2 linked regions of the Bombyx mori genome follow. The protein of the gene in region 1 binds, or shares a complex with, the protein of each later gene. Links are inferred from orthologs where the notes say so. Each region holds a gene or a part of one and is shown in the gene's direction. Other genes may lie near its edges.

Evidence for each region. Proteins that work in one complex are often made in the same cells at the same time.
Region 2: pre-mRNA-splicing factor CWC22 homolog (region 1) and BUD13 homolog share a complex: the UniProt entries of both Homo sapiens proteins name them as parts of the minor spliceosome. The link is inferred for Bombyx mori from reciprocal best matches to the Homo sapiens genes CWC22 and BUD13.

Annotation. Positions count from the first base shown.
Region 1 is NC_085110.1:1,337,975-1,342,078, reverse strand, and holds the start of pre-mRNA-splicing factor CWC22 homolog, read left to right. Parts: upstream 1-1,304; 5' UTR 1,305-1,533; coding exon 1,534-2,581; intron 2,582-3,104; coding exon 3,105-3,762; intron 3,763-4,104. UniProt on the Homo sapiens protein: Required for pre-mRNA splicing as component of the spliceosome. As a component of the minor spliceosome, involved in the splicing of U12-type introns in pre-mRNAs. Promotes exon-junction complex (EJC) assembly.
Region 2 is NC_085130.1:5,568,881-5,572,835, forward strand, and holds the start of BUD13 homolog, read left to right. Parts: upstream 1-1,155; 5' UTR 1,156-1,293; coding exon 1,294-1,394; intron 1,395-1,926; coding exon 1,927-2,110; intron 2,111-2,220; coding exon 2,221-3,409; intron 3,410-3,955. UniProt on the Homo sapiens protein: Involved in pre-mRNA splicing as component of the activated spliceosome. As a component of the minor spliceosome, involved in the splicing of U12-type introns in pre-mRNAs.

The DNA of each region.
Region 1 (4,104 bases):
ATATTAAATTGACGTCACATCTTACAATGCTGGCAGTGCTTATCGGAGCATAGCTGTAGTGTGGCTGCTTATGGCGTTGTTCTTGAAATCTTTCCGCTTTTCTTTGTGGGTGACGCATTTACGTTGTAAATGTTTTTTTTTTATGATTGAAAGATTACTGGTGGCCCGGAGGCCTTTCCAGCTTCACCAGGACAGGTGGGCGAGCAAAGGCTCAGCCAGGAGGGGTGGGATTTGCTAACAGCTACCCGAGCGCCTCCGAAGGAGACCTAACAACTCGAGAGCAATTGCTTCGCGAATGAATCTACTACCGGATCGGAATCGCGACCCACTGAGAAGATCCGGTGAGAAACTCAGCGAGCTGATGCATGGGTTAGGTTGCACGTCGACCTCTTTGTCGAGTTCGACGAGTACGGTTACCGGGGTTCCTCAGCCTGCTCCTAGTGTTAGAGCTGAAGGTATCTAATGTAAGAGTTATTGGATCTGATGGATCCGTAAGGACATGTCTAGGGCGACGACGGTGACTTGCTCCTGCGTGATCAGGATTCGGGGAGTAATCAGCGGCGGCAACGATAAGGCGATTATCATGACGTGTCTATGGGCTCCGACGACACGAGAACCCTCTCAACGTGGCCGCCGATAACTACATTGCCGATCTTGCGGACCAAATGGTAAACATTCGACGTCACCCAAAATACGTCATCTCGGATCCTCCTGATCCACTAACGGTGCTTTTAGGTACCCCAAGCACCGGTCATCGTTCTCGTCAAGCCCCTCGCTTGCGACGAAGGACTGGGTGAATAAATTAACCCACAGACACAGCCCACTGAGTTTGTCGCCAGATCTTTTCGGTGGGTCGTGTTTCCGATCCGGTGGTAGATTCTGCGCAGCACTGCTCTTGCTAGGGTTCGTGTTAGCAACATCGTCAGGTTTGAGCAACGTGAGCTCACCTACTAGCCTGGTGACGCTGATATGATCTCTCTAGAACATCAGCTTAGGTAGGAAAAAAAAATCTTTGCTGCAAACATTAGGATTATCCATTAAATTAGCACCTAACAGCGCCGAGAGTGGATAATCTAAAAAAGTTAACTGAATTTGTCCAAATACATAAACACCATTTTACTGATATTATATTTCATCTCATATCATTTCGTTTCATTTAATGTCATCTCAAATCTCAATTGATTAATGTCGCAAAAACAACTTCATTTAAATTTTTTTAAACAATACTTTACTTTATTAGGCCGTATAGTATGATACCTTCACCTTTTCAGTTGGAAAACGGAGTTACTACTACTCTACTACTACTGACATGACAGTAAAATAAAAATGTCAAAACAAAATGGCTGTTTTATTAAGGTCAAGCTGGATTTTACTTAGTGCACGTTCTACTTTTTCATCGAAATAAATTTCATGATTTTACACATAATATTGAAAATGAATAGTTTTAATAATATTGAGTTCTAGATACAGTATTAAATTCTTTTATAAAAAGTTCAATTGTAGTCTAGTAGTGTCAAAACAAAAATCATAAGAATGGAGAAGACTAACACCAAGCAGAAGAAAGATAAATACGAGGAAGATGATGAAAGGCGTAGGTCGAAAAGGTCGAGACGGGCTAGATCTAGATCTAAGTCACTTGAGGAACAGCAGAATAGGGAGTATAGAAGTAAACGCCGGCGTTCCAAATCACGCTCACCTCATTACAAGGCTAGGGAAGATAAACGAGTTAAAGACACACAAAAAGAGCCAGAAACAAAAAAAGATGCCTCTACAAAGCCAGAAAGACGCGCAAAAGATACTGATATGTTGAATACTAGAACAGGAGGTGCATACATTCCACCAGCAAGACTGAGGATGATGCAAGCGCAGATCACGGATAAGTCCTCGATAGCTTACCAAAGACTTGCCTGGGAAGCTCTCAAAAAGTCAATTCACGGTCACATCAACAAAATTAATGTCGGTAACATAGGTATCATTATAAAGGAATTATTGAAAGAAAACATTGTCAGAGGTCGAGGTTTGTTATGCCGTTCTGTTATTCAAGCCCAGGCAGCCTCGCCAACATTCACTAATGTATACGCGGCTCTAGTATCAGCAGTCAATTCACGTTTTCCTAATATCGGGGAGTTGTTACTGAAAAGATTAGTGATTCAATTCAAAAGAGGTTTTAAACGCAATGATAAGTCAATTTGCATTTCCTCTGCATCTTTCATTGCACATTTAGTGAATCAGAGAGTGGCACATGAAATTCTGGCTTTAGAACTTCTCACTTTACTAGTTGAATCACCAACAGATGATTCAGTTGAAGTTGCCATAGCATTCTTAAAGGAATGTGGCCAAAAATTGACTGAAGTATCATCTAAAGGTGTAAATGCAATTTTCGAGATGCTAAGGAACATTTTGCACGAAGGTCAGTTAGACAAAAGAGTTCAGTACATGATAGAAGTAATGTTCCAAGTTTGGAAGGATGGGTTCAAAGACCACCCGGCACTGATTGAAGAGTTGGAGCTCGTGCCTGAAGAAGAACAGTTCACACATCTATTGATGCTGGATGACGCTACAGATCCTCAAGATATCCTGAGTATGTTATATTCTATTAAACTATCCATAAAAAAATAAGCCATAAAACACTTAAGTAGATTATCTGTACAGTCTGTCAATTGAATTATTTGTTCCCCTAAGTTATTTAATAGCTATTGAGGGTATGCACAAGAGTTATTGTAACACTTAAAATGCTAAAAGTTTTGAGTGTATATAACACTCTAAACGAGTAAAGTTTTAATTTTTAATAGGATTAATCAAAAATTTTTATATATAGTTTACATAAAAATGCTTTTAGCTTATTTAAAAATGTAACTTAAACAATCTCAATTTTTTTTCATATACTTTTTGCTTTAAGTTTTAAGATAGTAGTACTCTGTGTTAGTGAATTCAATATCCATTATTTTAGCCTATTTTTATTTTCCATCGTATGTATTAACTCATTTATGCCCAACATTATTGAATGTTATAAACAATTTATCTTAATGCTCCATTTAAAACAAATGTAAAATAAGCAAATTAGTATAAAAGAATAAAAATAACAATTTTCCCAAATGCTTCAGATGTTTTCAAATTTGATGAAAAGTATGAAGAGAATGAACAGAAGTACAAGAATCTTTGCAAGGAAATACTTGGTTCTGATGCTGAGTCCGGTGATGAAGATGGTTCAGGAGAAAGCGGTAGTGAGGAATCTGATGAAGAAGATGAAGAACAACCAAAAAAAGAAATGACTATTATTGATAACACAGAAACAAACTTAGTGGCTCTGAGACGCACTATATACCTGACAATCAACTCCAGTTTAGATTTCGAAGAATGTGCTCATAAACTAATGAAGATGCAACTGAAACCAGGACAAGAAGTGGAACTATGCCACATGTTCTTAGACTGCTGTGCTGAGCAGAGAACATATGAGAAATTCTATGGCTTATTGGCCCAAAGGTTTTGCAACATCAACAGAATATACATCGGACCTTTCGAGGAAATTTTCAAAGATTCATATTCAACAGCACACAGGTTGGACACGAATAGACTCAGAAATGTCAGCAAGTTTTTCGCCCATCTGCTGTTTACAGATTCCATTAGTTGGGAATCTTTGGAATGTGTTAAATTGAACGAAGAAGACACAACTAGTTCTAGTCGGATATACATAAAGATTCTGTTTCAAGAACTGGCTGAATACATGGGACTAAAGAAACTGAATGACCGTCTACAAGATCCGTTCGTATTACTTTGTTTTGATGTTTTTTTAGTTTTATAATAATAAATAAACCCTCAATTTCAAATGGAAATATGACAAATGACAGTGGAAACTCTTTGAAAGGATAGCTCAGGGCACAGACAAGCGATTATATATTGCTGAGAGCAATGACAGTTGTTATGAGAGGTTCACAATAATGAATGTTGATTTTAACTACAATTGCTACATTGCTATGCTCATGGGTGTGATTTAATACTAGCTTTACCCTTTCTTTTGAGTTAGGAGATGGTTTCGGAACCAGTGAACAAAGTTTACGGCTTACCAAAAACTATCTTTATGGTTTAATCTTGCGAACTTTATTA
Region 2 (3,955 bases), on another chromosome or scaffold:
CAGTAGGACCAGGATTGGTTGTTTCATAGACGGGGTGTGCGTAAACAACATCAGCTACGCAGACGATATGGTGCTGCTGAGCGCGTCTATCTGTGGCCTAAGGCAACTTGTTTCTTTGTGTGAGGGATACGCCAAATCACACGGTTTGGTGTACAACTGTAAAAAGTCGGAGATCATGGTCTTTGAGACCAGGGGTGGGACGCATGATAAAATACCTCCCGTAGTACTCAACGGAACGCCATTGACAAGAGTTTATAAATTTAAATATCTCGGCCATGTGTTGACCCCTGATCTCAAAGATGATGAAGATATTGAACGAGAGCGGAGAGCGTTGTCGGTTAGAGCAAACATGATAGCTCGCAGGTTTGCACGGTGTTCACTTAAAGTCAAGGTCACCCTCTTTAGGGCCTACTGTACTAACTTTTACACGTGCAGCTTGTGGGCTGGATATACTCAAAGATCGTACAATGCTCTCCGTGTTCAATACAATAACGCGTTTAGGGTGCTGGTGGTGCTGCCCCGCTTTTGTAGCGCATCAGGGATGTTTGCAGACGCGCACATAGATTGTTTTTACGCTACCATGCGTAAAAGGTGTGCATCTCTGGTAAACAGAGTGAGGGCCAGCTCCAACAGTATCCTGAGCATGATCGCAAGCAGGCTGGACTGTATATACATGGGTCGCTGTGGTGCCATCTCCCATGGGATGTTACCACAGTAATTCATTGTGATGTAAATATAAATACTAACATAGGTCTAAGTCTTATTAACAATTTATATGAGTCATGGATACTTGAAATAAAAACATTATTATTATTATTATTATTATTATTAATGGTTTAATATCTGTGAAAGTGCACAAATGAAACAAAGCCGCTGGACGTAGCTTCTAGGGATCCTCCAAAAAGCCCACTAAAGAAGTCTCAGTAAATAACCACCATTTTACTGAGATTATATTTCATCCCATGTTATCTTATCTCAATTTATTTCATTTCATCTCAGTTGATTAATGTCTCAAATTAATCATCTTCATTTCATTTTATTTCATTTGACTCCCTAAATCATTTTTCATAAAAATAAGAATTTAAATATAAAATAAGACATGACCCAAAAGTCTTAGTTACCAGGACATAAAATCCCTTTAAAAAAAGTGTATTATGGCTTTGAAACATTTGAAAGAATGTTGATTTGTGACATTTGTGTTTGTCTAAATTGATACCATAGATAATACACATAATAATATAAAGTTCGTCAAATTAATTTTCTAAATTAAATAATTTGAAATTTTATTTAATAATGGCTACGACTGTAAACCAGAAAGCGTACTTGCAAAAATACCTGGCTGGTCCATCGGGCGATAAAAAGAAAAAGAAAAAAAAAGTGCTAAAAGGAAAAGGGTAAGTCAACTGTAGACAATGTGAACAATAATTGAAATTAAACGTGAAAGAATTTACTATTTCTAAAAAAAATACCTTAAATATCTACCGTTTTGATATTTACAATTGTATTTTGGCATTATATTAAAGTGCTGTCGTCACACTAAAATGCATTTTAAAATTGAAAAAAAAATCATGTACATTTTCACGTATTCTCCTTACAAGTTATTGTATTTTAAGTAAGTATTGATTATTTGTATAATGAAATACATAACAAATGCGAATTAATTTCAAATTTCTTATTCCTGTCAATATTTTCATTCAGTATGGATGAATTTTTTGGTTGCTTAAGCATGTTGTTCTAATAAGGTTCGAACAGTACATTAACTATATCATCACTCTCGGCTCATCTTCCTTCAAAGACGCAAACGTCAGTTCCAAATAAAGAACAAAAAAAAATTCTTTCATTAGTGAAAGATACAGATGACAAATAACCTTACCTGTTGAAACACTAAAGTGAATATAAAAAATGTATTTTCTCATCTAATTTTAGGTTCAAAATAATAGACGATGACATTGACCTATCGAAGCTACGACCCCTTGAGGGTGACGAGTTAGATGTGTATGATGAAGGTGATGACGCACCGCAAGTAGCAGGTATCATCGATGAAAGACCAGAGCATATAAAAAAACAGGAACAATTCACCACTAGTTCTAAATGGAAGATCGTGAATCAGGTACACATGTTTATTACTTTATTTTTACTGTCAAGCCTTCAACATATTAAAAAACCATTCTAATAGAAATCTTATTCATCGATTATAACAGACACCGAAAATCGTTACAGGATGACGGATTCAACAGCAAACTACAAATTGAAGAGATAAAGAAAGATGTAAAGGAAACCGAGAAAGAAAACGAATTGGTCTTTGGAAAAATGTACAGTGATTCCGAAGATGATAAGCCAAATGTTTCAGAAGCTTCGCCGTCTGGAAGAGCTAAAAGCAAAAAAAAACACAACAGTGACAGCGACTTCAGCCCACCAAGAAGAGGGAATCCAGTGAAAAGGAATAATTCTCCTAAAAGAACTACTGAATATGATTCTGATCTTTCACCACCTAGAAAGCATGAGGGTCAGAGAGCTGAAAAACTTAAAAAACCAAGTCGTTGGGACAATGAGAAGGATAAGTCACCAAAGTCTTTAAGAGCTAATAACCACAGAAGATCTAAGAGCTCTGATTTGTCTCCTCTAAGGAAAACCCAAATGAATAAGATTTCTTCAGGACAAGATATGAAAATTCAAAAAAGATATGATGTGACATCTCCCAGAAAATCTAGAAAAGATGATTCAAAACGAAATAGACTTAACTCAGTTTCACCTCCGAGGCGAAAAAAATCCCCAGAGAAATCTAAATTTGGTCACGATAACAGACAGAGCCAGTTAAAAAAGTATAATGATACAGATTATGGTTCGAGGTATGACAAAAGATCTAACAGATCAAATTCAGATTCTGATATGTCTCCCCCAAGAAAGAGTAAGAGACAAATCTCAGAATCTCCCTGTAGAAATGTTCCACTAAGAAAAAAAACGAATGATAGTGATTCAGATTTATCTCCTCCCCGTAAAAATATAAGATATGCAGAAAACAAGTCCTATAGGAATGTAAGCAAAAAACCTCACAGGAGGAATGACACAAAAGACAGTGGTTCGGATTTATCACCACCGCGAAAGCTTAAGAATATAGATAACTACAGAAGGCATGACTCTGAACGTAAAAGAAAAGACAGAAGTTCAAAAAGAAATAATAGCGATTCTGATCTTTCTCCTCCTAGGAAAGATAGGTCTAACAAGAATGACAGTCCCCCTCCAACCCATAAAAAAATGGAGAAGACTTTGGAAGGAAAGAAAGCAGGATTACAAGATGCCAAGCAGCTGAGGCAAGAAAACGATGACTTTAGAAAGAAAGAAGAGGAGATGTTTAAGAAAATGAAAGATGATGTTTCAGGCAGGAATGCTCAAGTTGTGTCAAGGAAAGGTTAGAATTATTAATATAAAATTTAATTTAAATAATAAAAAAAAAGAATATTACACATATCTACGGCAATCTAATTTAAAATTATAAGTAATCTTTGTTACTTAATCTTACTTTATTACTTATTCTCTATTACTTTAGTACTTAACAAATGTTCACGATTGACTTCCACCATGAAGGAATAACATCGTGTAATAAAAATCAAACCCGCAAAATTATAATTTGCGTAATCACTGGCGGTAGGACCTCTTATGAGTCCGCGCTGGTAGGTACCACCACCATCCTGCCTATTTCTGCTGTGAAGCAGTAACGCGTTTCGGTCTGAAGGGTAGGGCAGCCGTTATAACTATACTGAGACCTTAAAACTCGTATCACAAGGTGGGTAGCGCATTTGCTTGTAGATGTCTATGGGCTCCAGTTACCACTTAACTTCAGGTGGGCTGTGAGCTCGTCCACCCATCTAAGTAATAAAAAAAAGTTACATAGTTAAAGTCAAAATAAATATGTGAGCATTCATTGTTCATGGAACATATTTTTATACAAAAATTT